4 linked regions of the Lonchura striata genome follow. The protein of the gene in region 4 interacts with the protein of the main gene of each other region in a biochemical or structural test. Links are inferred from orthologs where the notes say so. Each region holds a gene or a part of one and is shown on either strand. Other genes may lie near its edges.

Region 1 (8,014 bases), on a different chromosome or scaffold from region 4:
AACTCAACTCTTTTATTTTTTTTTCCTAGCCTTTTTAATTTTTTTTTTCTTCAAGAAGAAAAGGTCCAGTCATTAAAAGGAAAAGTGAGAGGGAAACAAAAAAAGGCAAAATCGCCCGGCCAAAGCTGTAAAGTAAAAATGTGCAGGTCGTGGAATGCGGGCTGTAAAATCCGCAGAGGAGAGAGCCATAAAGCGCTGCTGAATGGGGATGACAACTCCGTCTCTGCTCGCGGGTGGAATTCCGCAATTCCGCGAGCGGGATCGCACCCTGGGCACCGGGAACGGCAAGGGAAGGGGGGCTGCGGGGAAGGGACCCCTGATTTTACGCCCTGACTCGAGTTTTTCTGGTTTTAAGCTCAGCTGATCCCAGAACATCCAGGTTTTTTGGGTTTTTTTTGGAGGTTTGCTCTCTTTCCAAAGCCTCTCCAGCGCTGATCCTCGCAGCGTCACCGGCTGAAAGAGGAGTGAGCGGGGGGGGCTTCTTAAATCTAAAGTCGGATAAAAGCGGAGATGAAGTGTTTACGACCAGAAATATTTGGTCTTTGATAAATCAACTGTAAAAGCGGATGAATTATGGAGCAGGTAATGGAAAGGAGTGACCACCGAATAAGTGCGAGGGAACTCCCGCCTGCCCAGCCCGCCGTGCCTCGGCTGCTGCGCCCTGCTCCTCCTTCCCTCCGCTTCCCGGCCAGCCTGGGCCGCTCTCCGCTCGCCCCCAGCTCTCCTAACGAGCCCTGCCGCGGATTTTCCGCCGCCGCGGAGCGGGGCTGATGCTCCCAGGTTGGGCCAGCTGGAAAAGGAGCTCGCGTCCCCCCGCCCGTGCCGCTCCCAGGCGGGGCAGCAGCGCCTTTCTCGCTCTTCTCGGCATCCCACGGGTGTGAGGAGCCCCGGGCACCGTGACCAGCCCACGAGTGACCACGGGCATCGTGAACAGCCCCACGAGTGACCATGGGTAGAGTGAACAGCCCAGGAGTGACCACGGGCACAGTGACCAGCCCACGAGTGACCACGGGCATCGTGAACAGCCCCACGAGTGACCATGGGTAGAGTGAACAGCCCAGGAGTGACCATGGGCATCGTTAACAGCCCCACGAGTGACCATGGGTAGAGTGAACAGCCCATGAGTGACCACGGGCATCGTTAACAGCCCCACGAGTGACCATGGGTAGAGTGAACAGCCCACGAGTGATCATGGGTAGAGTGAACAGCCCATGAGTGACCACGGGTACAGTGACCAGCTCCACGAGTGACCACGGGCACAGTGACCAGCCCACGAGTGATCACGGGCAGAGTGAGCACCCACACGAGTGACCACACAATGACCATCCCCACGAGTGACCACAGACACAGTGACCAGCCCCACGAGTGACCACGGGCACCGTGACCAGCCCAACGAGTGACCACGGGCACAGTGACCAGCCCACGAGTGACCACACAGTGACCATCCCCACGAGTGACCACAGACACAGTGACCATCCCCACACCGTGACCATCCCCACGAGTGACCACAGACACAGTGACCCTCTCCACACCGTTACCATCCCCACGAGTGACCAGGGGCAGCGTGACCAGCCCCACACCGTGACCATCCCCACGAGTGACCACAGACACAGTGACCAGCCCCACACCGTGACCATCCCCACGAGTGACCACAGACACAGTGACCATGCCCACGAGTGACCACAGACACCGTGACCAGCCCACGAGGGCAGCGTGACCAGCCCACGAGTGACCGCGGGCACGGAGGGAGCGCCCAGCCAGCCCCGGAGCGCTCCGGGCGGCCCGGGGGGAGCGGGGCCGCGCCGGGCCCCTCCCGCGGGGGGCCAGGGATATTTATTGGGATATTTATTAATCCTTAATTGACGTTAATGCCCCGAGACGGAGCCGGAGGCAGCCCGGAGGGTCGGGACATGTGCGGGGCCAGCGTGACCCGGAGCGGGGTCACCCCCGGAGCCGCCCCAGCTCCAGCAGGGCCGCCCCGAAAGGGCTTTCCCCGAGGGTTTTGGGACAGAAGGCGCCGCTCTTGATCCCATTTCCATCCCTGCCTCCACGCCGGGCTGTCACCGCTCGGCGAGCGCGGATGTTTCCGCGGAGCGGGGAGGGATGCGCTGCCGCTGCGGGCACCGCAGCGCTCGGGACAGCCGGGCCGAGCTTTGGCCGCCTCCAGGAGAACAGCCCCGGCCCTGGAAGCGCCTCCCGTCGGGGGCTTCACCCCGAGCCCCTGTCCCGGAGCGCGCAGCCTCCGCCCGTGCGCACGGCGGGGGCTGCCCGCGATCCCTGCGGCTCCGTCCGTCCCCTCCGAGACAGACAGACAGACAGACACGGCCCCGATCGGTATCTGGAGCTACAAGCGCGGCTTGACGGCAAACGGGGGCGCGGAGGAGGACAGGAGGGGGGTGGCGGTGTGTGGCTCCCCCCACCCCACCCCACCCACCCCCTCCTCTCTTTCCAAGACGCGTTTCCAGCGAAACGTCACGAAAGGAGCTGGGGACGACCCCCACCCCCTTCCTCCTCCGCACGCCAGCAAATAATTCCCGCTCCCCCCACCCCCAGCCCCCTCCCGGCCCCCGGCCGCCCTCCCCCGGCCCCAGCCCCCTCCGGGGCTCCTACCTGTGCTCCTCATCCAGGGGTAGATGCGGAAGTTGCTGTCGCCCTGCAGATCCGCGTCCCTCTGGTCGCTTTTGCTGCAGCTCTGCTTGGAGGCGTCCGCCGGGCACATCAGGGCCAGGTTCTGCTCGAAGGGGGCACAGTGCATGTTGAAGGAGCCGGCCTCCAGGCCGTAGCCCGCGGGGTACACGCTGGGGGGCTGCGGGTGCACGGAGCTGCCGCCCGAGTAGAGGCCGGGCATGGAAGCGGCGAAGGGCGCCGCGGATCCGGCCCCATAGCCCGCTCGCTGGCTGCTGGAGGCGAAAGCGCAAGAAGTTTGCTCGGGAAACACTCCGGATGGGAAAACCGAACTTGCGGCTTGATATTTAGAAAATAAAGCATTCGCATAATACAATGAACTCATAATTTGGCCGGGTGATTTGTAGGTCGGGACGTTTTAGTGTCGGTTTTACGAGGTACCGTGATATATTACGGAATTAGAGTCCAGATTTACACCAAAAAAGAGCCTTTTTCCTCCCGGCCCCGGTGACGCGCGGGCACGTGGCTGCGGCGGCGCCAATCGCCGGCCGCCCCCTCCTCGGGGGCACGGGACTGTGCGGCTGGATTTATAAAATATGATAAATAATTGATGCCCTATAAAACCCTGCACGAGCTCTGCTGGAAGGGGTGAAATTGTGCCGGAGTCGATAAGCAACCTGTAATCAGTTTTCAGCTCGGAGCGAGGGAGAAAGGGGAGGAAAAAAATTAAAAAAGAAGAAGAAAAAAACAACATGAAAAAGGGGAGGGGGTTACAAGCACGTTGCTGATAAACCAGCGAGGCTCTCTCGGTCTCTCTCTGCTGGAGGAAAGGGAAGGGAGTTCTATTTATCCCTTTATTGATCCCGTCTAAATTTCCCTCCTTTGCACCATTTCCTCGTCTCCGAGCTACTTTTTCACCAGACTGGCCATAATTCCCTCCCCTCCCCCCTCGACCCTCGCCCCCTCCTCAACCCCCTCCCCCCAAAAAAAAAAAAAAAAAAAAAAAAAAAAAAAAAAAAAAAAAGAGACAAATGTCTCATTGATACCTAATAGTTCCAGGCGTCTTTTTTTTCCACCCCCCAAAATGCCATTCAGCTCTATATCTAATTTATTCCAGTGCCACAGGCTTTGAGCTGCGCATCGAGCTGGCATTTGCTTTTCTTGTTGGGGAAAATAAAGAGCGCTGGGATCCCTTGTTCCGCGTGTCAGCGCTTCTGCAGGGCTCAATTCCAGCCAGAAGTCAGACCTGAGCAGCTGGCTGATTTGCTTTCTGCTGGAGAAGCGCAGGAACCATCCAAAACCGCGATCTGGCTCTTTCTCTTCTTTTTTTTTTTTTTCCTTTTTCTTTTTTTTTTTTGTGCGAAGAGGCGGCGGCCCCGGCTTGGGTGGGATGGGGAGGGGAGGGCAGGGTGAGGGGCATGTAGAAAGAAATAAAAAAAAAGCTCCGGGAGGCAGGAAAAGCAGACAATGGTGCGGGGTTTGTGGCGATTTCTCCTTCCCCAAGGTTACGAGCGCCGGGGGAAGCGGCGGCTCAGCTGCGCTGCTCCCGGCGCGATCCCCCAGCGGGGCCGGGAGCGGCCGGGCTGCCGCGGGAGGGCGAGGGCACCAAAACAAAAAGCCACCAAAAGCCACCAAAAGCCACCAAAAGCCTCCAAAAGCCACCAAAAGCCACCAAAAGCCACCAAAAGCCACCAAAAAGCCACGAGCTTCACGAAACGTTACCTGCAACAGCGAATTCCAGGCGGCAGCCCCAGCTGGGAGCTGCGAGGAAGAGGAGCAGGAGGAAGAGGAGGAGGAATGGAAGAGGAGGAAGGGAACAGGAGGGAAAGGAGCAGGAGGAAGAGAAGGAGGAAGGGAAGAAGGAGGAAGGGAGGAGGAGGAAGAGGAGCAGGAGGAAGGGAACAGGAGGAAGGGAACAGGAGGAAGGGAACAGGAGGAAGAGGAGAAGAAGGAAAGGAAGAGGAGGAAGAAGAGAAGGAGGAAGAGGAGCAGGAGGAAGGGAACAGGAGGAAGAGAAAGAGGAAGGGGAGAAGGAGGAAGGGAAGAGGAGGAAGAGGAGAAGGAGGAAGAGGAGAAGGAAAGGAACAGGAGGAAGAAGAGAAGGAGGAAGAGGAGCAGGAGGAAGAGGAGCAGGAAGAAGGGAACAGGAGGAAGAGGAGCGGGAGGAAGAGAAGGAGGAAGGGAACAGGAGGAAGGGAGCAGGAGGAAGAGGAGTGGGAGGCAGAGGAGCAGGAGGAAGAGGATAAGGAGGAAAAGGAGCAGGAGGAAGGGAAGGAGGAAGGGAAGGAGGAAGAGAAGGAAGAAGAGGAGCAGGAGGAAGGGAGCAGAAGGAAGGGAACAGGAGGAAGAGGAGCAGGAGGAAGACGAGCGGGAGGAAGGGAACAGGAGGAAGAGGAGCAGGAGGAAGAGGAACAGGAGGAAGAGGATCAGGAGGAAGAGGAGCGGGAGGAAGGGAACAGGAGGAAGAGGAGCGGGAGGAAGGGAACAGGAGGAAGAGGATCAGGAGGAAGGGAGCAGGAGGAAGAGGAGCGGGAGGAAGGGAACAGGAGGAAGGGAACAGGAGGAAGAGGATCAGGAGGAAGGGAGCAGGAGGAAGAGGAGCGGGAGGAAGAGGAGCGGGAGGCAGCGCGGCTGCCCCGGGCCCTTCCCCTCCCCTCGGCCCCGGCCCGGCAGCAGCTCCGAGCCCGGCCGAGGTTTTGCCTTTTATTTTCGGTGGTGCACAAATTGACTTTTTAATTTCCTTTCTATCCCAGCGGTCCTGGAGGAAGCGGAGCAGGGCGAAAGGAATGATGTCACGGAATTCTCGCTTGTAAACTTTATTGTAACTTTTCTTCCGCCGCTTCCAGGTTTAGACAATAGAACAAAGTGGTGAAAGAACAACAAAATATAGCATTAGTTCCCCCAATAAAGTAATTCACGTATACAGTATACATTCTTTTTCACAGTTAACCTAAAGATCACTTTACAACTTGCTTCACTGTGCGCATGCTAACTAAAGGAAAGAAAAACGCTTTTTTTTTTTTTTTGCATTTTTTTTTCTTTTTTCCCCTTTTTTTTTCTTATGGAAGAGACATTGAAAAATTGTGTTAAAAAAAAAAAAAAAAAAGGAAAAACCCCAACTAACCAAGGCAAAGAAGAGGAGGGGAAAGTGAAGAGAGAGATAACTATAGCATAAATAGGCAGTTTCATGTTGTTGGGATGCTTGTCTCAATAGCTACCTCCAGTACATACAGATAAACCACAATAACAACAACAACGACGACAACAAAAAGGATGGGAAATAAGGAACTAAACATCCAAATTAAAATAAAAATAATAATAAAATAAAATAAAAAAGTGCACAAATGTAATCTCACAGAACTCCTCTAGCGCTGAAAGCTATGTTAACCACCCCACCCCCCGCGCCCCCGGAAAGAAGAGAGAGACAGAGAGAAAGACAGAGAGAGAATTTCACAGTCATGTTTTACAGAAGCTATTGCGTTACACTACCGCTAGTTAATAACTGGCAAAAGGCAGCCGGGAGCTGCCGGAGCCTCCCGCGCTCTGCTCATTGTGTCAAAGGATAATCGGGAAAGTGGCGCTTACAGCTATATTGTTTTACAGCAATAAAAGGGATTTTTTTGTGGTTTTTTTTCTTTTTTTTTTTTTTTTCCTGCTTCCCCTTTTTTCTCTTTTCTACGCTTTGTTTTCCTGGTTTGTTGTTTTTGTCGTGTGCCCCCCCCCCCCCCCCCCGACCACCACCCCCACCCCTCCCTTACAGCAACTCTCATTAACGCGGGGCTCGGGGGCTCCTCCACCCCAGCAGCGCTTGCCTTTCAGTCCTCAAAATTCCCTTTATTTCTTGTCCGCCTTCTGTGCTTCCCCTTCCTCGTCCACCTCCTGCGCTCTTTCCATTTTCTGTTTTTCCAGTTCTTCCTGCTCGCATTTGCTGCTGGGAAACTTGTCTTTGTTGTTCTCCTTTTTCCATTTCATCCTCCTGTTCTGGAACCAGATTTTGACCTGCCTCTCTGTCAATCCCAGGGCATGCGAGACCTCGATCCTCCGTTTGCGGGTCAGGTAGGGATTAAATAGAAATTCCTTCTCCAGTTCCAGCGTCTGGTAGCGGCTGTAGGTTTGCCTCCCCCTCCTGCGTCCGGCGGCTGCTGGGGGATGGCAAAGGTTGGGTGGGAGAGAAGGGGCGGAAAGGAGAAGGAGGTTGAGAGAAACATAAACCAGGCTCGGGGAGAGGCGCAAACAACTCGCAAAACCCCCCAAAAAACCCCGCGGGAAGGCAGGAGGGCGAGGGGGAGACGGTTCAGAGGGAAAAGGGCGATGGTGGCAGGGGAAGGGAAGGAAAAGGGGAGAGGGAAAAGGGAGAGGGGGGGTCGGTCACCCTCAGCCCACCCCAGCAGCCCGGCCGGAGCTGCGCTTTGCACACCGATTATCACCCCCAGCACAACAACAGCGCAGCCCGGCCCGGGAAAACCCCCAAAAAGCAGCAAAAAATGAAAATAAATAAAAGGCTGCGGCCCGCAGAGAGGCGGCAGCGCGGCCGAGAGCCCCAATCGAACGGCAAACAAAAATGAAGGGGCTTTTTAAGGCTATAAAAGTGCCATAAACTTTAAGGACGCTTCCTTCCACAGAAAGCCCGGCTCGCTCAGCCCCCAGAAGAAAAGGTCTCCTTCAGGGTAATTAAACTATAAAGCAATTTACAAGTGCAAAAGTTTACCCCCATAAAGCACTAAAATACAGTCACCGGGGGCGAGAAAAAGGCAGCGAGAGAAAGAAAGGCAGCAAAGGAGGGGCAGAGAAAGCAAAACGCCGAAAAGAAAAAGAAAAAGAAAAAGAAAAAAGCCGAGGGGGTGGCGGGTTTGGGGGGAGCTGGGGCTGCTCCGGGGCGCCGCTCGCCGCTCTCGCCTCACCTTGCGGGCGCATCCAGGGGAAGAGCTGCGTGGGAGAAGGGCTCTGCTCCGAGCTCTCCGCCTCCTCGAGGCCGCCGGCGGCGAGCTTGCAGTCGGCGTAGGGCAGCAGCTCGGGCTCCTGGCCGCCGAACAGGCTCTGCCGCTGCAGCGGCTCGTAGCCGTAGAAGTTGGCCGGCTCGCCGTGGCACGCCACGGCGCACGGGTTCTGCTGGTACGGGGAGCTGGAGAGCGACGAGGCGCCGTGGTAGAACTCCTGGATTTGGGGCGGGTGCTGGAAGGTGCCCCCCGCGCTGGGGCCGTACACCACGGTGGGTCTGCCCCCGAGCTCCTGAGCGAACCCACAGTCATAGTAATTGGGGCGCAGGGAGTCGCCGGTTTTGTATTTGGAGAAGAGTGAGTTGACAAAATAGGAGCTCATTTTAATTTCAATAAGAGGTTGTTGGTTTGTTTTTTTTTCCCGTTGTTGTTGTTGTTTTTTTTTTTTTTAA
Region 2 (7,583 bases), on a different chromosome or scaffold from region 4:
TTAGACACAATGTGAGATGCTCCCGCCTTCCCCAGGTTTCTGATTTCATTTGTGTCTTTATTCTGGCCAGAACCCTTTGGTTTTGAGGCACATCTTTCTCCAGGAGGCTGAATTCAGCACGGAATTGGGGAGAAATGGCAGGGCAAGGAAGGAACTGAGGGACAGCCTCATCCTGTGGCTCCAGGTGTGGAAAGGAAATCCAGGTGAATTCCCTGCTTGTGCCATTCCTCTGGGATTCCTCCAGCTCCCTGAACTACTGTGAAGAGGCTTTAGTGGAAACTGGGAGCAACCAAAAAATGCTCTCCTCAAAGCATTCCCTGCAAGAATTCCAGGTTTAAGTCAGACACAATTTTTCTTTTGCTGGAGGAACAAGTAATTCTGGCAAACACATTTTTAAATACCATTGTGAAAACTCTTATCCCAGCCTGTGTCAACTCCAGCATTAGGGAATGGGAAGAAAGAGAAACCTGAAAGCAGCAGGTCCAAGCTCTTCCTGCTGGGGAGCAGGGCTGGGAGAGAGCTGATGGTTGAGCTTTGACTCAAAATGATCTCTTTTTTTTTTTAATTCTTCATCTTTTAACAGCAATTACACTTCTCTGGGTGCTAATGTATGATTTTGGAAGCCTTGGGAGCTGCTACCAGATCCTGCAACAGGGTTTTTTTTTTTTGGTTTTTTTTGGTTTTTTGAGTCAGATGTGGAATACAGTGTAAATAAACTTTTCAAATGTTCCAGATTACCTCACGTGAAGTTTTTAGGCAGTTTTTACAAGGTTGATGGTGTGGACTTGGAAGATCCTGTGGCAGTTACTGGAGCAGAGTCCAGTGGATCCACGAGCAAACCCCAGCTGTGTCCTTGAAAAGCTCCAGCTGCATCCTCCTCACAGAGCAGGAGCTTTAAAACTCAGAAGTTTCAAATGGTATTTTTGAAAAATATTTGGTGGGGGCGTAGGAACTGGAAGTTTTGTGGCAGGTCTGGACTTAAGGTTCTTTGCAAACACTTTGGGTTTCAGGGGCACATTTGGGAACCTTGTCTGTGTTTTCCACAGTATCAGCCAACACTGCAGAACATGCACAAAATCTTCAATATATTTAGTTTTAACAAATTGAACACAAAGTGGGGACAGTGGCAGGTCAAAGACTAAACCAGTTGGTTCTGCAGCTTATTTTGGGTGTAAAGTGCATTTTCAGCCAGAAAATTCCTGGTTTTCTGTGTTCTTTGTCACCGTTTTTGTGTTTCCTGCACAGCCCAGGCCTGGCCAAGCAGCTTCACTCCAGTGTGACCTTTCCAGGGAAAACTGGTGGTCTTGGACCTTCTTCTTTACTCAAGCCTTTAGATAAATTGTCTGAACAAACATTTTTTTTATCCACTGAAGTAGATTTTAAGTCCAATTCCAGGATTGTCTTTTATTTTTATTCGTGATTGTTCACAAATAAAACAACATGTGAATGAATTCCATCAAATGTGGCAGGTGAAATTCCTGAAATGGCATTTTTTGATTGTGACTGGATTGATCTTTTTTTTTTTTTTTTTTTTTCCCCTTATTTTTTGGTTTGGATAGGTACTGATAGCTTCCTATGGTTTGAGTTTTTTATCTTGCAAGTTCCCTGTGTGCTCCAAATCTCCTAGCACGTTGCATTTCTGTGTGCTGGAGAAGTGCAGGACACAGCCCGTGGGATGAGAGAAGGTTCCAGGGACGCTGCTCAGTTTGGCTTCCCTGAATTCCCCGAGTGCTTTGAGAATTTTCTATCAATCCAGGAAGGATGGAGCTCTGGAATCCCCAAAATTCCAGCTCTGCTCAGGATTTGAGCCTTCCCCAGGTCATTCCTCTGCAGCTGGGGATGATCTTTCCATATTTCTGGGGAGCAAAGCAAAATCCTTCACTCCAGACTTTGGCAGGTGGGCAGGGCTGAATGTTTTGGTGTTTTTCCCAAAAGAAACCAGCCTCTCCTCCAGTGTGACTGCAGCTGCTGGGGTTGCACAGGGCACATTATTCCCTTTTTTCTGCCCCTGGGGTTCCAGCTTAACTGCATTAAAACTGAAAAACTGGGAATTCTTCCCACTGGACTGAAGTGTATTGTGTGTGTCTCGCTGCTTCTGAATCTTCTCTGAGCAAACGCTGTGGGAACGGGGCAGTTTTGTCCTTTTTTGTTAGAATTTGCACTTCATTTCTGGTTTAAATCAAGTCAGCTGTGTCCTACTAACTGTCCTAAAATAATGTTATAAAAACCAGATCAATTTTAGCCCTAGATGCTTTTTTTCTTTTTTTTTTTTTTTTTGCTTTTATTTCTGTCAACCTCTTTCCCATTGTCCAATCCAGACTCCGGCATTCTGTAATTATGTATAAAGGTTTTATTTATTTAAAATTAGATTAGCTACATTTTTAAATTTAACACCTGGCTGGACAGTGTCCCATTAACGCATTGATTGTGTTTCCTTTGTCTTGTGTTAATAAATATTGATGCCTGGTTGCTTGTTGAGTCCTTCCAGCGCTGTTTCCATGAAGGAATTTTATTTTTAAGGAAGAAAACATGGGTTAAAATTGATCCTGGGCTTAGGGAGAACTTGTAAGTATCTTAAAATTTTTGTATTTTTGTCAGTTGTGTGTGGAGAAGTGTTGGAGCTCTGGGGGTGTGAAGGAGCTGGGCTGGGCAGTGTCCTGCACCTGTAACTTTGGGAATCTGAATTTTTGGGATCAAAGCAGGGAGTGGAGCTGGAGAATCCTGAGGGAGCTGGGAAAGGGGCTCAGCTGGAGAAAAGGGGGATCAGGGGGAATTTCTGGCTTTGCACAACTCCCTGACAGGAGGGGACAGCTGGGGGGTGAGTTTGGGATTTATCCCAGGGAAATCAGGAGGGATTTCCCCATGGAAATTGGAATTACAAATTGGAATTACAAATTGGAATTACAAATTGGAATTATTGCTGCCCAGGGAGGGTTGGAGTGCCCGTCCCTGCAGGTGCCACTCGGTGCTCTGGGAACAAGGTTGGATTCCGTGGCCTCGGAGGGATTTTTCCAGCTCAGGAATTCCCAGATCCTGTAAAAAATCACATTCCTGTCCCTAGAGGTGCTTGGCTGCAGTTGGTGCTTTTCAGGGAACACTGAATTTCCTCTTCTCCCCAGTGATGGCTGAGGAACTGTCCCATGAGGGGAGCCCCCAAATCCTCACTGTTGTGAAAAACGCCAATAATTTGGTTTTTAAAATTTTAGAAGTTTAATAACAATAAAATGGTTATAAAAATAATAATATAATTAGAGTAATAAAGTTTAGAGTTAGGAGAATTACAAGATAATAAAAAGCAAAGAATTATGGATGTCTGGATGCTTTCAGACACTTAAGTCATGAAAAGCATCCCTTGTGAACAAAGGAATCACCTTAAAACAATACACTGCTGCATATTCATATATCCTTCATGGTTATGCATACATTTTATTTAAAACAAGAATTCTGTTGTTTTTTAACTGTTTCCTTTAATCCCCATGTCCCTTCGAGTCTGAGCAAGGCCTGAAGAAATTAACTTCTTCTGATAAGAAAACCATAAATTCCTCTGCTTGGGAAGATTTCGGTGTTCCTCGAAGCGAGCACCTCATTCCTAAAAAGAAAACTGTCCCTACATACACAGGCTCTATTTTACCATTATGTTGTAACCTAAAACTATATTTAACACACCACTTAAGAGAATTAATACAGCATAACTTTCTGACGTGACACATCTAATATTCATTGTAATATTTGCCGAAAGCCAAGCGTAGCAGATGAATTTTCACGCTGTGATCCTAAAACCCTCTGTGGAATAAATAACCCCGAGAGGGGCCGAAGCCCTTTAGTGCCACTTCCTAAAAATCCGCAGGGAGCGGGTGAGGAACGGCCACGGAGACGCGGCCCTGCCGCTGAAACCCGGCTGCACCCGCTGTGCTGGGAGTAGCGGGAATTTCGGGAATTGCAGGATTTGGGGAATTTGGGGGATTTTGGGGGATTTCGGGAATAGCGGGAATATCGGGAATTTGGGGGATTTTTGGGAATTTTGGGGATTTTGGGAATATCGGGAATAGCGGGGATTTTGGGAATAGCGGGAATTTTGGGAATATTGGGAATTTCGGGATTTTTGGGGATTTCGGGAATTTCGGGGATTTTAGGAATATCGGGAATAGCAGGAATTTCGGGATTTTGGGGGATTTTGGGAATTTGGGGAATTTCGGGATTTTTGGGGATTTCGGGGATTTTAGGAATAGCGGGAATTTGGGGAATTTCGGGGTTTTTGGGGATTTCGGGAATTTGGGGAATTTTGGGGATTTTGGGAATTTCGGGATTTTTGGGGATTTCGGGAACTTCGGGGATTTTAGGAATTTTGGGAATTTCGGGGATTTCGGGAATTTCGGGATTTTCGCGGCGCTCCCGCCCCAGAGCGCGGCGCGGCCTCCGGCCGGCGGGGGCGCTGTTGCCGCGCCGTGCCCGCCGGCGGCGCTCCGCCGCTCCGCTCCGTGGCGCGGCCGGGCGGGGCCGGCTCCAGGCGGCCGCTCTAGCCCGGCGCCCGCGCTCCGCGCCGCTGGGGCTCTATGGCGGGGGCCCCTGGGCGCGCACTCTATGGTCGCGGCCCGCCCCCGCCGCCGCCGCCGCTTCCCTGAGGCGGGACCGGGCCGGCAGCGGGGCCGGGACCCGGCGGCGGCTCCGGCGCTCCCCAGGCGCGGCCCCGCGGGGCTCTGAGGTAAGCTCGGGCTCAGGAGGCCGCCCCGTCCCCCCCACCCCACCCCGCTCCCTCGGCCCGCCCGCCGCCGCCGCTTCTCCCCCCGCGCCACCCTCCGCCCCCGCGGGCCGTGAGGGGAGGACGGGCGCAGGCCGCGGCCTCGGCCGCTGCGAAACCGCGGGGAGTTCCCCCCGCCGCCGGGCCTGAGGCGCTGCCCTGCGGCCTGGGGCTGCTGCCGGGCCCGGGGACGGGGGGAAAAAGCTTCTGGGGGTGTCGAGGGGAGCCCCGGGTCCCGCGTCCCCCCGTGTCCCGCTCCCCTCGGGAACGGGGAAAGGGAAAGGTGCTCGGGGGTGAGGAGGGTCCCGCTCCCCTCTGGAACGGGGAAAGGGAAAGGTGCTCTGGGCGTGAGGAGGGTCCCGCTCCCTTCAGGAATGGGGGAAAGGGAAAGGTGCTCAGGGCGTGACGAGGGGAGCCCCAGGTCCCGCTCTCCCCGGGAATGGGGGAAAGGGAAAGGTGCTTTGGGACTGACGAGGGTCCCGCTCCCCTCTGGAACGGGGAAAGGGAAAGGGAAAGGTGCTTTGGGACTGACGAGGGTCCCGCTCCCCCCGGGAATGGGGGAAAGGTGCTCTGGGGGTGAGGAGGGGAGCCCCGAGTCCCCCCGTGTCCCGCTCCCCTCTGGAACAGGGAAAGGGAAAGGGAAAGGTGCTCGGGGGTGAGGAGGGTCCCGCTCCCCTCTGGAACAGGGAAAGGGAAAGGTGCTCGGGGGTGAGGAGGGTCCCGCTCCCCTCGGTAACGAGGGAAAGGGAAAGGTGCTCGGGGATGAGGAGGGTCCCGCTCCCCTCTGGAACGGGGAAAGGGAAAGGTGCTCGGGGGTGAGGAGGGTCCCGCTCCCCTCTGGAACAGGGAAAGGGAAAGGTGCTCGGGGATGAGGAGGGTCCCGCTCCCCTCTGGAACAGGGAAAGGGAAAGGTGCTCGGGGGTGAGGAGGGTCCCGCTCCCCTCTGGAACAGGGAAAGGGAAAGGTGCTCGGGGGTGAGGAGGGTCCCGCTCCCCTCTGGAACGGGGAAAGGGAAAGGGAAAGGTGCTCGGGGATGAGGAGGGTCCCGCTCCCCTCTGGAACGGGGAAAGGGAAAGGTGCTCGGGGGTGAGGAGGGTCCCGCTCCCCTCTGGAACGGGGAAAGGGAAAGGGAAAGGTGCTCGGGGGTGAGGAGGGTCCCGCTCCCCTCGGTAACGAGGGAAAGGGAAAGGGAAAGGTGCTCGGGGGTGAGGAGAGGCTCCGGCCACCGGGAGCCGCGTCCCCGAGCGCTGCCCGCTGACCAACTCTACTTTATCTCTAATTAAACCGCCGTCAATGGGCGTCGTTACCTGTCCTCTGTGAATTTTCCCCCAGATCCGTGTCTGAGCCTTGGCTTCCAGTGCTCAGTGAGGATCCGGGGCGGTATAAGTGATAGAAATGATGATATAAATGATCTCTGGGGTGTTTTTCTCTCCCGGCCATCAGATCCCTGATGCGGATAGAATATTGACGTTTTTAGGCTGCAGCGTTTATTTCTGAAGCTCCTGTCAAGGGGATGTTCCTGTACAGGCTGGGAGTGGAAGAAATCCTGTGAGGAAAGTGCTCCTGGAGTTTTAAGGAATAATTTTGTGTGTTTGTGGAATGGAATCTGGAGCACTGACTGGGCACCTTGACTAGAGACTGCTCACTTGCTCTCTGGTCGGATGTGCTGCCCTTTTACTGATTTCTGAGGGAAAAAAATGGAGTTCTGTCCGTTTTCTGGGTGAGCAAATTTTCTCCCAAGTGTCCTAATGGCAAATTTAGGTAAATAATATTTTCACTGCTGAAAGCAGCTGATTTTGAGGACCCCAAACTCCCCCAGATTACTTAAGCATCGTTCAAGAAAACGTTTTGAATTTTCTCTGTACAATTTCTAAATGTCAGAATTCGACTTCTGTCACTATTTGAGAATAAAATTCTGTGTCAAATATTCTTGATTTCTGATGTTATAAAAACATAATCCATTGGCTCTTACAATATTTCAGTGATGAAACATCATTCAGACCCTTCCTCTACTCAGTTTGCAAAACAGAACTTGGTTTCTTCCTCTGTAGCATTTCAGGGAATTTACAGAATTAGGGAATCAGTGGGAGTTGTGGGGATGGGTTTTTCTTTTTTAATTGATGCTCCTTGAGCACGTCAGGTGTTTCTGGTGGCTTTGCCTGGTGGTTCATGCACACGGAGGGTGTCTGTGAAATGTGTCCTGATGGAACTGTGACATTCCTGTTTATGTTTCAAAGGAAGGTGGATTTGAGGCTCAGGTTTGAAATAGGATGAGTTTTCTTGGCTGGAGGGAGATGATGCCCAGAATTTTAGGAGTTCTTGAAGCAAATTTCATGAGCTGCTGTTGCAAAATCCTTTCAGTTAAATGACTTTTGGAGGTGGAGCTGCACGGAGACTTTGGGTTTACTGTGAAAATCGTCACCCTTGCCTGTCTGGTTCTCAAAAAGTGGTGTTTGTACAGACTGGGCCAATAAAGCCTTGGTGTTGCTCCTCTTGTCAGTGCTCTGTGACAGCAAAATTCTGCCTTCACCCCAAAGAGAGCACCTGCTTTCAGCTAAATAAATTAAATTCAGCTGTCAGAGCAGTTTTACACAGGGGGTGACTCGGGTATTATCCTTTTTGGTGCTTCTTCTTAGAGCTTGAGACCTGCAGGTTGAGGTTTTTCCCCCATTCCAGGGGGAAATTCCCAGTTTTCCAGCTAAATAAAGTTAAAAGCATGGGAGTCTTGTGTGACAGCCCAGAAGCTGTGAGGTGCAGGATGAATTTAGCAATCCTTGCTAAATCTTTTTATTGCCTGATGTTGGGTGAATAATTAAATATTCCAGAGCAAGCAGAGATGAACTAA
Region 3 (7,769 bases), on a different chromosome or scaffold from region 4:
ACTGCTAATTGCATAAACTCAAGAACTGCATGTACCCCCAAGTATTTAAAATCTTTTAAGCAAGCTTTTGAGCAATCTCAGCCTAAAGAGCAGGTTTTAAAAAAGGATTTAAAATACGCAATTAGTTTTTGCTTTTTCCCCACCCCTTATCTTTCTTCCTGGGCCTCAAAGTATATTTGTATCACATTCATAGCACATCAAGAACTTAGCTATTGGTTTAAGATGGAAGCTGAGATGCTCCTTCAATGGCACATTAAGAAGAGGGATATCAGGGTAATACCAGTATTGCAGGCCTCATAAATAATGCTGAGAGTCCAGTTTGAAGCCAGCTTGAGGTGATCTTTAAGTTATTGTTCATCACTTCAGGGAAAATTTTATAGCTAGAAATCTGTGGCCATCTTTGGCAAACCCATCAAGTTTCCATGGCACAGTTTGGACCCTTGTTCTGTGTCTGCCAGTCAGCCAATCTTTCCATAACAACTGTGAAACCCAGTAGCCAGTTTTAGCCAAATTGGGCAAAAAGTTAAAGTCTCAGGGTATGAATCTGGCTGCTTTATAAATGACATTTCTTTCTAATCACCAGCATCCAGGTTGCTCTGAATCAGCCACAAAGCCTGTTGCCTATTGCCCAGTCTGTGTTTAAAGGACACAGTAGGGAACTCTGGGAAGAACAAAAACACACTAAAGGAGCCACTCTCTCATGGTGTGGATGGGAGGGGTACACAGGGTTATTACAGGGGACAAACTTCTCAGAGACCAGGCTGCAGGTGTCTCACAAAACAGCCCATGATATGCTTGTTCGTGTGAGGTCCATGTAGACAATGCAGCTGTTGTTTAACATAAGTGCAATATAACATTAATTTATTGAGCGGCAGTACACTTCACAGGAGATGTCCTTAATGCTGTACTGACAAGAAATTCCAGGTCTCCCACCCCCCATGTGACTTTATCTCCAGCCCTGCTTTTGCAGTTAGATATTTGTGTGAGAGGTGAAGCCAGAAATGTCACCTGCACGTCTCCAATTGCCATGTGACTGTGACCCTGCCAGATCCATATAATCCAGATACCGTGATAGGCACAGGTTTCCCACATCAGCCTGAACGGCCACAGCAGATAAAAGGAGATGCAGAGGAAGAAGCAGCCCTGCCCTAAAACACTTGCAGTCTAAGTAGGCAAAGTAAGTGAGCTGGCTTTCAAATGGCCTGAGGGCTGGCCTAACTTTATTCCTGTTGAAGTCAGTGATAAAAATCCCATAAATGGAGCCTTTTGGAAAATCCCACCCTTGGGGCATGAAAGTACTTAAAGGAAGAGACTGAAAATTGTGCAAGCTTTAGATTCAATTTTCATCAGTTTTTATGCGTATTTCAGAGGCCCCAGCCATGGAATGACAATACATCCTGTGACTTTCTGTTTTGCTCATGCACTTTTCATAAGCAAAATGTGTAGGAAAAATTATACTGTGGTTTTAATTACGCCCCTAGACTGCATTATCATGGGCACACACGTGGTGCACGGAGCTGTGAAGAACTGGTACCATGACGTGTGATAAAGGTCGTGCGACTGATATACCAGTGAATTCTGAAGAGGACAGATAATCTTGCTCAAGGCTGGCACTCAGGTGATCCAGTGTCATTTCTCAGTTCTGGCATGGGCTTCCTGTATGACCTCAGTACAGTCATGTAATTGTTCAGTGCCTCAGTCCATCATCTTTTTAATAGGGTTACTACTTAGTTACTTCCTTTCTCCCGCCCTCTCCTGCCTCACTTAGACTGCAATTCTGCCAGGGAGTGGAGCATTTCTTACCACGTGCAGGCCCTTCATCCAGTACAATGAGACCTAATAGCAGTGCTGGTAGAGTAATGCAATGCCAATTAAATAAATAAATGAAGATGATAATATCATTTAGGACTAGATTTGCTGCTTGCAACCCAGCCCAAGGTCAAAGTTCTGTGCTTCCCTGGAGCTTTGGGATGCGCTCCATGTGGAGGTTTCTGCAGTGGTGAAAATCAGCCCCAAGCAGTAGCTAGTTTTGGGAAAGGGCTGAGCACCGGTCACAGTTTCACAGGTGGCCTTCTGTGGCTAACTGCTGAACGTCACAAGGAAAGCCTCCTTGGAGATGTAGTTGGCCTAAGCAACTTCTCACCACACCTTTTTGTCTGAACTTGGTTGCTGGCTCTTCAATGCCACTGTGGTTTTCCTCCCTACCAACTGCTAAATCATATACACAAATGCCAGTGTCACAATTGGAGAGTGGCTGGTGTCTTTTTGAGCTGCCTTGCATTTTTGTAGGGGCCATGTTACAACAAAAGCCGTGGCAAGGCACTCAACATTGTGACCCAAAATGGAGTTGCAGTGAAAATTATTTCCATTACTTGAACCTGCATTTATTCTGATTAATTCGGTGTCTTTTGCTATATTTAGACAACCAGGGATTAATTGTATGCATGCTGAAATGCTGTCCCTTGTAATAAAATCACACTAAACTATTCCTAACTTCAGTGGCTCTTGAACTAGACACTTAGGGCCTTAGGCCTTACTTAGTAGCACGCGTGAGGCATGCAGGATCAGGGTCTCGATTGTTTTATAATCAAACTGAATGGTTTACAAATCTCTCTACTTGTCTATAATGCAATACATCAGGAATAGTTTGTCTGCTAATTTTATCCGGCACATCTTCTGAAGCACACTGCTTCTCAGTCCATGCTATTGTATCTTGTCTCGGAGACCATGTTGGACTAAATCTAGTCCACCACAGTCTAGGTCGGTATCAAGCCGGGTAAGAACTGATACATAGAAGTTGCCATATGAAGTATTTATAACTACATCCATATTAATAGCTTTTATGTTCCTTGGTTTTGTGGGTCACCCCTTTATTCAACCCATAATTAACTACATATTCAAGTGAGCTACTTTGGAGGGCTTTCTGCTAGGGCATAGCCTCTAAGAGGGAGGTACAGCGAGATTGTATTTCACGTGTGGACATGTCTGAACACGTTCCTGGAATCACCCACAGGCAGAGTGAAAGTTTTCAAATTACTAAATTAGACTCTGTATTTTAAAGTTTACCAGAACAGCTCGTGTGCACTAATAATTTTTGACCAGTGAAAATGAGTACAGAAAAGAAACAGGCCTAATACAACTCTTGGAAAAATTTACCGGGTACTTGGAGAGGTTTGAACGCTTTCCACTGGGCCGGCCGGACAGGGCTCCGGGGCCGCAGGGACGGCAAGCAGAGAAGCGCTGCCCTCCCCAGGCGCCAGCGGCTTCTCCAGCCCGCCCAGCTCCGGCGCCTTCCCCCATCCCGGCGCTCCCGCCCCGTTGGGGCGGCTCCTGCGCGGCACCGCCCGCCCGTGGGCGGGCCCTGCCGACCCGTGCGGTTTGGTTGAGTCTCCCTGCGTGTGTCTATAACTTTGTGTTGCTGCCGGTGGTTGTTAGGAGGAGGGATGTGGAAGTCGGCGGCGAGCAGGGTGACAGGCTGCTCGGGCGGGCTGCGGCGGCGGACGGGCTGGGCGCGGGCGGATCGCTTGCCTCTCGCCGGCTGCTCGCAGGGGGAGCGGGCGCTCTGCCGTTTTCCCATCCTTCGCCTTTAAAGGGAAGGCTCTCTGGAGCTGAAGGCGCAGGAGCAGCAGGAACCATGCAGCAGCGCTGCTTCTTCCTCCCGTGAATTCGGATTTCGATTGCTGCCGGTTGTGGAGGTGGCTCTCGATCCAGCACCCCCCCGCCGTCTCCCGCCCCTCCCGATGTGGCTTTGCCTGCCTCGTCTGCCTGCGCTTTTTAAATGACTTAAGTGAAGGGGGGAAAAACTGTCAAGATGGCAGCAGCAGGAGCAAGGAGGTTATGAATGTGGTGTTGATGCTGGAACAAAACGTATTCTCTTTGGCAGCCCTAGGGAGGGCTTAAAGCTACTGGACCTGTTGGAAGACTGGCGATTTGATTTGTTCCCGTTGCATTTGCTTTTTCCCTGCAAGAAGGAGGATTTATTACTATTTTTTTTTTTAACCGAGCAGCCCCCGGGGTGGCCTTCTCCTGCCTCCTCGTCCGTCGGCTGTGAGATTTTGGGGGGTTGCTTGCGCTTGGCTTGGGGGCACTGCAAAGTGACAGGTTTACGCTAGTGTGCAGTTGGATGTATGCTAAGACTTCGGCTCCCTTTAGGGCGTTTTGAAGAAGGAAAAAGTCTTCGGTGTAACCCAAAGGACCGCTCTCCCTGCCCTCCCGCCGACGGAGGGCGCGAAGGACCACCCCCCCAAAAGGCAAGATATCTGCGGAAGCGACGAGGAGCGAGCTCGGAGGCACCGGGGGCGTGAGGGGGTCTTCTCCCGGCTGGATACAGCGCGGTTCTCGCTGAAGCTACTTCTGCATCCGCATGGAGTGAAACATAAACAAACGCACACACGCACCGCGGGAGCGGCCGCCGCTCCGCCGGCGCGGAGGTCAGCGCCGCGGGCACCTCCGGCACCGCCCGGCCCGTGCTGCCGCCCTGCGCGGCCGCTCCGGCTCCTAATCTGATTTTTTTTTTTTTTTTTTTTAACTCCCTCCCTCCCCTTCTCCCCCCGCCTCCCAGCTCCGGCGTGCGCATCGCCCGCGGGGAGCGGGGCTCGGGGCGCAGCGGAGAGCCGGCCAGCCCATAGCGGAGCGCGGCATGCCCGCCCGGCAGACCCCCGCCTGCTAGGCTCCCGTCGGCACCGAGGAGGCGGCGGAGGAGGAGCGGGGTCGGCGGCCGCCCGCCCGCCCCGTCGCAGCGCCCCGCAGCCGCCCGCGGGGGAGGCCAAGATGGCAGAGGCGTCGCCCCCAGCCCCGCTCTCGCCCCTGGACGTGGAGCTGGACCCCGAGTTCGAGCCGCAGAGCCGCCCCCGCTCCTGCACCTGGCCCCTGCAGAGGCCCGAGCTGCAGGCCAGCCCAGCCAAGCCCGCCGGCGAGTCGACCGCCGACGCCGCCTCCATGATCCCCGAGGAGGAGGACGACGAGGAGGAGGGGGGCGGCTCGGCCATGACCGTCGGCAGCGCGGCTCCCGCGGGCGGAGAAGCAGCGGCGGCGGCGGCGGCGACCACCGCCGTGCCGGAGGAGGCGGCGCGGCTGCTGGCCCCGCTGCCCGGCGGCGGCCCGGAGGGACCGAGCCTCTCGCCGGGGGGAGCGGCGGCGGCGGCAGGCGGCGGGGGGCTGAGCGGGGGCCCGGCGGCGGCGCCGAGGAAGTGCTCGTCGCGGCGCAACGCGTGGGGCAACCTCTCCTACGCCGACCTCATCACCCGCGCCATCGAGAGCTCCCCGGAGAAGCGCCTCACTCTCTCCCAGATCTACGACTGGATGGTCCGCTGCGTGCCCTACTTCAAGGACAAGGGCGACAGCAACAGCTCGGCCGGGTGGAAGGTGAGGCGGGATCCCGGGGCCGCGGCGCTCCCGCCGCGCCGCCCCGACGGGCGGGCTGCCCCTGGAGATGCAGCCGCGGAGCGGGGTGCTGGCGGCTCGCCCCGACAGCAGCCCGCCGGGCGCTGGTTGTGCTGATGGTGGTCGCCCTGTCGGCTTTGCTTTTTTTTTTTTTTTTAGGAGAGGGATTAAGGAAAGTTTTGTCTCTTTCTTGTCGCTTTGTACAAGCGGTGAGGGCTATTGACTCTGAGGGCAGAGTACGCGCTGGAGCTCAGTTGACTTTTGTGATGCAAAAGCACATAAGCAGAAAGATAGAGGGAGAGAGTAAGAAAAATGAAAAATATTTGTAAGGTGTGTGGGTTTTGCTTTGCCCTTTTTTTTTTTTTAAGTTATGGTAACACCGGAGGTAGTTAATGCTGGAAACGAGCAGAATTGCTTTGATGTATGGTCAGTCTGCATCTCAAAGCTCAAATACAGAAAGACTTTATTATTTTTGTCAAGGAAACCCCCAGTTTTTTGCCCATGTGTTCCTCAAAAGCAGTAGAGGGAAATTCGCGTTTTGACATTTCTTCATAAAGTTAATCAAAGCATGGAGTTATTGGCTGTTCAGCCCCTGGAATGCGTGGTTTGTGATTCCTACGTTTCCAGTGTATGAGAGCACCGTCTACTGATAGTCCCAGCATTTTCTGTCCAGCACTGCGACAGTGAGCAGCTAAGAGTACTACCGTTTTAATAAGTGAGGGGGAAAAAAAAAAAAAAAATATCTGGTTTTGTGGCTTGTTTGCTCAGCGCGTGCAAAAGCACGTTGCAAGCAGGCAGGGTTTTACCCTCAAGAAAGAGTCATATAAGGCCTACCAGGAGCCAGAACTGCATGTAAAGCACATTTGAAGTGATTTTCAGAACTGCTTTTTTTTTTTTCCTTAGTTTTCCTGTTCATCTGTCAGCGTCTGTTGGACGCCAAAATGTCACATACTTGCAGCTGTACAAAAATGCAGGTGCTGCTTGATGCCGATACTGTTTGCAGAAGGAAATCCCAGCAAGGTTCAGTTGCTGCTGAGGGCCGATACTAGCAGCATCTGACACTGAGTTTTTGTATGGATGGCTGAAGGTAAATTTGCCAGCAAGTTCAGTGCTTTTATAGAAAAAATTAAATTTTCTCTTTGAATTTAGCTAGATTTGGATCAGGTGATAACTTTCAGTATACAAATTGGTCACAAATGCTGTATAGATGAAACATTTCTGGCAGTTTCTGTACTAGCAGCCTTATCATGTATTTTGGTGCCCGAGTAGGACTTGCTGCTAGGAATTGAAGTGCGGCTGTATGATTTTTACCTTCCAAATGAAGCACAGGAGAGGAAGTATTTAGTTGACAGACTTGTCTTAGGCTGGAGAAAATACAAACACAAAGTTTACTGCTGGCATGGCTAGCTGAAGACAAGGCTTTTAAAACCACACATATTTTTTTACAGCTTTTTTGTGTGTATTAGATGTTGAATTTTGATCTGACTTTACAAGTGTGACGCAGAATGTGCTAAAGGGTTACATCTTCCAATGACAGCCTGTGCCTTCATAAGTTGTTCGGTTTCACACACAAGCAGTGGCTTTAGATGTCAGCTGTTACGGCAAATCCAGCATTTTTATCTGGTACTTTGAATTTTCAGTGAATTCTCAATATCTTATTCAAACAAAGATTTACCTAACAATGGGGGTAACACTGTTTTGAATTTGGTGACAAAACTCCTTTTCACTTTAGCAGAAGCAGAATCTGGGCCATAATATGAAGTGCTTACATTGATTAGTATCCTTAATACTGTAACAATTTTTTTGACACTTTATACTGTTAATTTGATATTGATTCCTTTGCTGAGCAGCATTAACTGGTACTTGGAGGTAATTAAAATGTTAAAAACTTGGATCCCTTGAGATTCTTCTGTTATAATTTAGTTCAGAAGTTTCTCACAAGCCTTTAGGATGACCTTTCTCAGGACATGCAGTCACACTGGTAGCAGCAAATTCTGCCTCTGATTATGAGATGTCTCTAAAGTTAGGGTAAGACATTCAGTCACATTAACGATGGGTGTAGTTGTGTGTGGGTGGTAGGGGCATACTGGAAGGGGCCAGGGGGAGGTCAGGAGCTAATAATTCGCCAGGCATCTGAAACTGGAAAACGTAAGTCCTTAGCAAGGCTAGGATTTTTTTTTAAGTGCGTATACATTCAGAAGAGGACTACGTCAGTTTCTTGGCTGTAGAGTAGTTTAGTTTGTGCAGAGGCAATATTCTTATATGGGGACTCCATCTTAGTCTCCTGATATTAAAACACATTATATCTTATTATCATCTTTGTTTCCTTCCCAGGTAATGAATACAACTCTTCAGGAACTAATGTCAGCTTTTCACATTAGACTTCT
Region 4 (6,931 bases):
CTGCTCTCTTTGAGTTTGTTGCATGTTTGGCATTACTAGTGAGTGAGGCCATCCAAGTCTTGCAGTACTGACACCAAAGGGCTGTGATACCCAGGGTACTCTTAGGCCTTCAGGGTATTTAATCATAGCCCTCTTTCCAAGGGGCAGCTGGTAACAGCCGAGGTCTTCCTCTCCCTCCTGCCATTAACCCAGCGCTGTTCTGATCCCATGGCAGGGGATCTGATCCCCTTAGGGGCCATCCTAAGGGGACATTTCACCACAGAGAAGCTGCAGGACACAGCAGCAGTAGGATCCTCCTCCTCTGCCCCTGCTGCCTGGGGTGAAGGATTCCCTCCCTCCAAAGCACCTCCTTTCCCTCCCACTCTGCTCCTGGGACTTGCAGCCCCGCTTTGACTTCACTGGTGTGGCAAGCCTGGCACTTGCTGTAAAGACAGAGGAGCTCTCCCAGCTCATCATGGCCTCCATACATCCTCTGCTTTTCTCCCAACAGCGGGTACACAGCATTTCCCTCAGAGGCACCGACACAGCAGCTCCTGTCACAGCACTGGGGCTGTCAGCGCCTCAGCAGCTGTGTGCTCAGGGCTGCAGTACTGCTGTAACATGGGTGTGCTGCCCAGCACCAGGCAGCATGAACATCCTCTGGAGAGTGGCAGTAGCCATGGGACCACTCAGGATCTGTCCCCAGTGGTAAATCTCCATCCTGACTTTATCCCAGAGCTGCAGAGTTAGTGCAGCAGCAGGGAAGGGGGTGATGAGGAAGTGCTATGGAGGGCTCCTGGTGTCAGCCACTCCAGCATATCCTTAAATGATGTAATTGAAAAACCACAGCTTCCTTTGGGTTTGAGGGGCTTTAAACACCAGCTCGTTCCACCTTCCTGCCATGGGCAGGGACACCTTCCACTAGCTCAGGTTGCCCAGGCTGTAATGACCAAGGCAAGCACAAAGAGTGATCCAAGACACAGTTCAAAATACACCAACTAAACTTGTTAAAAAGTTCAAGCAGGAGCCAGAAAAAGACCCTGTTGTCCTCGGCTGTGACTTAGAATCTGATGTGACTCCCACCCCTCACCTCCAACAGCAAAACATTTTCCTTTAACCTAAACTGGAATAAATGCTTTATACCACAGTAAAATGCTGCTGGACAGGAGCTGCTGCTTTTACATCTAGAGGCACTGTGAGACACCAAACCCTGTCCCACACTGAAACATCCTGAAACAGATGGGAACTCATTGCTTTTGAAGGAAATTAAAGCAGGCACAACCAGAGAGCACTTACTTGTGTAGCTAATGAGTAGTGCAGTGATAGAAACAGAGGCCTGACAGACCTCCACGTGATTACAGCCAGACCTCAGCAAGGACAGGCACCATGTAAATAAATACAGAATTTGCAAGTAAATGTAATGAAATTCATGTAAATGTAGAAGTAAATGTAATGAATTCGAGTTTTGCAGTAAACAAAACGCAGACTTACTCTTTGCAAAGTAATCTGTCATTATAGATCTCCTTCAAACCAATAAATTATTGCTGTTGAATCCATCTCAGCTTATGGAGCTTGTCAACAAATCCTCAGAATTGTGTCCAGATCTTCTCCAGCCTCTCCTCCCATTGTGGCTACCTTTGGAGGACATTCCAACATGAAGATGATGAAAACAGCCCCAAGCAACCAGTTTGGGTACAAGGAGCTCTGCTGCCACACACGTCACCGGGGCTTATATGACCTGATTCTCAGGTTGGGAACCAGTATGGAAATCTATGGAAGTATATGAGCTCCAGTCTTCTAAACCTGTTTTGGGCTGGGGAAGTCTGTCTAGACAGAGCAGAAAGTGTTTGTAAAGTGAGGCTGGGGTTTGATGCTGGTGCCTGAGAGTGGGTCAGCTCCGATGGGACACTTGCCCTTGTGTGTGGCTGCTCTGAGGGCATGGGGAAAAATGGGGGCACGGGGAAAAATGGGGGCACGGGGAAAAATGGGGGCACGGGGGAAAATGGGGGCACTGAGGGGGAGCTTGGGAGGGGATGTTGTGATGGGCGCATTGAGAGGGAATGTCCACAGTAGAATTGAGAGGGGGAACTGCAGGGGGTAACTGAGAGGGGACATGCTGAGGGGGACATTGAGAGAGATCCTGTCTGTGGACTGAGAAGGGAAGTTGAGAGGTGACTGAGGGGAAACTGAGAAGGGAGACTGTGAGGGGGATGGCTGTGAAGGGGGCATTGAGAGGGGACATCTTTGGTGAGACTGAGAAGGCAAACTGGAAATACAACTGTGAGGGACTGATAGGTGTCTGAGAGGGAAAATTGAGGACGATTCAGGGAGAGATGAGAGGGGACATCCATGGTGGGATTGAGAGGAGAGACAGGGGTGAGGGCTCTTAGGAGTATGTGGGGAGGAAAGACTATGAGGAGGCATTGAGCCATCCGTGGTGGTAGTGAAAGGGGAGATTGTGTGGGTGACTCTGAAAGGACTGAGAGGGGAAGGGGGGATCATGGGCAGACATGGAGGGGACACTGTGCGGGGGCACTGCGACATCCGAGGGGAGTCAGAGAGGGGATGTGGGGGGAGACTGGCAAACGACTGAAGTGAGGGATCTGAGGGACTGAAGGGAGACTCTGAAGGGCCAATGAGCCATCCATGGTGGGACTGCGAGGGGAGATTGTGGGGGTCCCTACGAGGGGACTGAGGAGAAACGGGGACTGTGGGGAGGCATGGAGGGGTCGCCGTGAGGGGAGCACTGAGACATCTCTGGTGGGACTGAGGGGAGACTGCGGGGGACGCTGTGAGGGTGGAACAGACATCTGAGGGGAGTCGGAACACTGTGAGGGGACAGCTCTGGGTCCTGAGGGGGAGCAAACAGGAAAGACCAGGCGAGGACTTTGTGGGTGGGAGGGAGAGAAATGCACTCTGAGGGGACTGAAGGGAGATTATGAGGGGGCACCGGGAGCAGGCACCTGAGACATCTGAGGGCAAACGGAGAGGGGACGCTGCGAGGGGGTGCTGCGGGGGGAAGCCCCGACTGAAGCAAACAGGGCAGACCGAGGCGGTAGCGGGGCGCACCGAGGCGGGGCAGGGCGGCGGAGAGCGAGCGCACAGCACCGCCGGCACGGCGTGCGGGGCGGGGTCGCCGCCCGACCCTCCCGCCGCTCCCGAGCCCCTCAGCGGAGCAACTGAGGACGGCGCCGGCCGCTTCCGGCGCCGCGCGCGCCTTTCCGGCAGGGCGGGGCCGCGCCGCGAGCGCGCTGACGCAGCGCGCAGGCCCCGCCCCCGCCCCGCCCCCGAGGGCTCTGGAAAAGAGAAGAGAAAAAAAAACTTTTTTTTTTAATTGAGGAATCAACAGCCGCCATCTTGTCGCGGAGCCGGAGCGCGGCGCGGGCGGAGCGGGCCGGGCCGGGCCGGGCCGGGGCAGCGGGGCCGCCCCGCCGCCGCACGGGGCAGCCGCGCCGAGCGCCGCCGACGCGCACAGGGGGCTCGAGCCAGCGGGGCGCAGCCGCCCGGAGCCAACCGACCGCCGCCGCCGCCACCGGGAGCCGCCGCCGCCGCCGCGCCGCGCTCATTGTTTTGGGGCGTTTTTGGGGGGTCGGCGCGGTTTTCCGCTTTTTGGTGATTTTTTTTCCTTTTTTTTAATTTTTGCCCCCCCCCCCCCCCCCCCCCCGCTCCCTTCTCTTCTCCTCCCCCCCCCCTCCTCCCTCCCCTACCTCAGCCGCGGGCGGGCGGCGGGCGGGGGCCGGGGCGAAGCCGCCGCCGCGGAGGGGAGGGGACGGGGCGAGGCGAGGGGAGCGTGTGGGGGGGCGGAATGCGCCCCGAGTGACGGCCTGAGCCGCCATCCGGGCACCGCGGCGGGGGGAGCGCCCGGGAGGAGCGCGGCCGGCAGGGAGGGGGCGCTGGGCCCTTCGCTCCCCGCCCCGAGCCCTCCTCCCTGCGGCCTGCGGCGGCCCGGCATGGGGGAGCGGGGGCGGCCGGCCGGGCACTGAGCGGCGCTGTTGGGTTCCCGTGCGGCGGAGGAGCGGGGACAGCGAGCTCGGCCCCCCCCGGGCACCCCCCGACAACGATCGCCGGCTCCGCCGCTCCGGCCACCATGGCGGAGAACTTACTCGACGGGCCGCCCAACCCCAAGCGAGCCAAGCTCAACTCGCCGGGCTTCTCCGCCAGCGATAGCACAGGTAAGGCCGCGGGGGTGGCTCGGGTGGGGCTCTACGCCGGTTCTCCCCCACACACCCCCCCGCCCCCGCCGCCCCGCCGGAGGGGGGGCCTGCGGGACCGCCCGCCCTGCCGCGGTTCCTGGCGGGGGTGGGTTGGGCCTCCTGCAGTCGAAGTTACCGGGCGGGACCCGTACGCCAAGTACCGTCCCGGCTATAAATAGCGGTTGGAAAGAGACGTTTTTCGAGTTAGGTTTCCCATCTTTTCCTCCATCATCTTCGTTTTTAGTGCCTCGGTTTGGGTGATGGGGGTGGACAGGTGAGCGGAGTGCGGGTAGGGAAGCGACCGTCCTGCTTGTTGTACGATCGTGGAATGGTTCGGGTAGGAGGGGACCTTAAAGCCCGTCTTGTTCTATCTTCTGCCATGGGCAGGGACACCTTCCACTATCCCAGGTTGCTCCTAGCTCCGTCCAGCCTGGCCTTGGACACTTCTAGGGTTGGGGCAGATGCAGTTTCTCTTAGCAGCCTGTGCGGAGGGCCTCACTGTCGTCAAAGGAAGGAATTTCTTCCCGATACGGAATCTAAATCTACCCTTCTTCAACTTGGAAGGGTAGTTAAGTTTCTGTCTACTCCTTAAACCCCACAGATTACCCACAGCTAATAGCCCTATACAGGCTTTTTCACTGTGCCCCTGTGTGTGACACACTACGGAATAAAAACTCCTTAATAGCTTCTTAGTCATAGAATGATATGGGTTGGAAAGAACCTTGAAGAACATCTAATTCTATCCTCCAGTTAATACTTTGTGCTTTTTTTTACCTCCCAGCCTGTGACCGAGGTTTTCGGGCATTTGGCTTAAACTGTTTCAAGCATTTTTCCTTTAAACCCCAAACGATTTGCCGATAATAATTGAAGTTGTGGGGTTGCTCGTATGCCGAAATGCCCAGCAGCGTGGCAGTCATTGCGACTTGCCTGCGTCGTGTGTAGTGTCTCTGGCGTGCCTTTTTCTTCAAATGTGATGGATTTGTAGATAATAAAACAGATAAAAATGTCTTGTTTCCAGCCAGTGTGTGCCCGTTGTAAATACACACGTGTGCATAAGAGCATGTGTGCCTGGACCGACCGGCCTCTACCGGTGTTCCGACTGTTTCAATCCCTGAAAGAGTGGTTTCAGAAGAACTTGAAGTCTGTTGCACTTTAATTTCTGCTTTCAGAGATTAATGAATCTTGTGGAAGGGATAGTGATAAGTTAATCATGCTGTGCCTGCTGTGTTTTCATAGACTGAAAAAAAATACTACTATAATTGAGCTGATAAATTCTGTGGGTTTTTTCGTCTTGCTCCATCTATATTTGGCAACACTTTACAGATGCTTTGGTCCTTTAGGGTTTTTTTATGGAAACCTTTTTTCTCAGCCTGCAAATAAATTAAACAAGCGAGAAAGAAACAGTATCGAATTAGAATTGTCAGGGAATATCTAGGTGAGGTCTTGTGATCTTACCCCCTTGTGTGGAAGCACTGGAATATATGGAAGGCTGATACACAAGTTGCTGCGAAATGCTCTTTGTAACTCAGGACAAATACAGTTTATAGTTCTTTAATACTTCAGTGAGAAATTTTAGACTCTCCTGGTAGCCAGTGTCTTGGCTTGTTTTTTTTTTTCTTCCTTCGTTCTTTTTTGAAGTTCACTTGGGCTGTTCTGGAATGCTTCAGTCTTAATTACGTCCTGTTCAGCAAGTTCTCGTGTGTCTCGGGGAGCTCTGTGTGGCGCTGGATGTGTGAACTCCAGCATCTGCAGAAAGTTCTGCAGGGCTCAGGGGGCCTGGGGGCACCGGGATGGCAAACCCCAAGTTGTATTCTGGACAAGTGTGTCCAAGGAGTTCTGTCATCATCCTGGTGTTCCATAGGCAAAAGTACCTCTCTGCCAAGGGTGTGGGTGATGTTTGTGCACTTAAAGAGAGGCTTGTTTTTAGGAAAAGCACTTCTAGGTTTGTTGCCAGCAGTTAATGCTGCTTGTTGAAGGATTGCTGAAGGTTTCCGTGCATTGTGGCAGGCGATACAAATAGTTTGAGTAGTGATTGCTGTCAAATGCCTGCTCCTGGAACTAAACCAGGCTGCTCCCTGCTGCTGGGGCTTAAATAGAAAAGTTCTGTTGCAACCTGGAAAGTGGCCTTTGTGATCGAGGGAGCCTGGGGAGATGGGTCTGAGGCTTTTGCCCTGGCTGAGCAGTGAGTTGAACAGAATTATTGTAATTGCAGCGGTAGCCCCACACTGGTGGGTGCTGTGGCTGCCGTGAGGGGGATGAGGGGGACGTGCTTTCACAGCCTCTGCATTGGGCCCAGCTGAACAGTTCTGCTCAAGCCTGCGAATGCTCACACCCGAGGCTCTGATGGCAGACCTGAACGTTGGGCAGAAAGCAACTGCTCTCCTCCTTGTTTATATTTTCTTGATGCTTTGATGCGGTGATGTTAAGCAACTCCTTTTGTCAGGGTAAGTTTTAGCTGCCTTTAATCTTTCTGATAAAAATAGCTCCTCAGCTTACCGGGGCAAAGTTTGTGCCATTGAAATTGGTCTGCTTACCTTGTGAAAATACAGCCTTTTCTGTTAAACCTCAGTGGTTAAATTCAGTGTCTGGTCTTGCAGAAGGGTGCAGAGATGAAAGGATAACAGAAATGGGTGCTGTGACCATCGTTAAGTTTCATGATAGTCTCATTTCGCAGTTGCCGTGCTGCTCTTTGTATCAATAAGGAAGGTTAAGACTCCTGGCTGTTAACTTCACTTGCCATTGCTGTGCTGTATTGAATG

What was found.
Region 1: the proteins of CREBBP (region 4) and HOXB7 form a complex in vitro, tested with the Homo sapiens proteins (2 studies listed by BioGRID). The link is inferred for Lonchura striata from reciprocal best matches to the Homo sapiens genes CREBBP and HOXB7.
Region 2: the proteins of CREBBP (region 4) and ATF1 form a complex in vitro, tested with the Homo sapiens proteins (2 studies listed by BioGRID). The link is inferred for Lonchura striata from reciprocal best matches to the Homo sapiens genes CREBBP and ATF1.
Region 3: the proteins of CREBBP (region 4) and FOXO3 are reported together in a solved structure, tested with the Homo sapiens proteins (2 studies listed by BioGRID, with this or other methods). The link is inferred for Lonchura striata from reciprocal best matches to the Homo sapiens genes CREBBP and FOXO3.

What each region holds. Positions count from the first base shown.
Region 1 is NC_134627.1:8,098,472-8,106,485, reverse strand, and holds the start of HOXB7 (homeobox protein Hox-B7), read right to left. Parts: upstream 3,011-8,014; coding exon 2,611-3,010; intron 1-2,610. Other genes in the region: HOXB8 (homeobox protein Hox-B8), read right to left, coding at 6,460-6,767, 7,527-7,944. UniProt on the Homo sapiens protein: Sequence-specific transcription factor which is part of a developmental regulatory system that provides cells with specific positional identities on the anterior-posterior axis.
Region 2 is NC_134629.1:8,961,311-8,968,893, forward strand, and holds the start of ATF1 (cyclic AMP-dependent transcription factor ATF-1), read left to right. Parts: upstream 1-4,570; 5' UTR 4,571-4,702; intron 4,703-7,583.
Region 3 is NC_134605.1:69,784,071-69,791,839, reverse strand, and holds the start of FOXO3 (forkhead box protein O3), read left to right. Parts: upstream 1-4,755; 5' UTR 4,756-4,770; coding exon 4,771-5,364; intron 5,365-7,769. UniProt on the Homo sapiens protein: Transcriptional activator that recognizes and binds to the DNA sequence 5'-[AG]TAAA[TC]A-3' and regulates different processes, such as apoptosis and autophagy.
Region 4 is NC_134618.1:3,873,331-3,880,261, forward strand, and holds the start of CREBBP (CREB-binding protein), read left to right. Parts: upstream 1-3,916; 5' UTR 3,917-4,066; coding exon 4,067-4,151; intron 4,152-6,931. UniProt on the Homo sapiens protein: Acetylates histones, giving a specific tag for transcriptional activation. Mediates acetylation of histone H3 at 'Lys-18' and 'Lys-27' (H3K18ac and H3K27ac, respectively).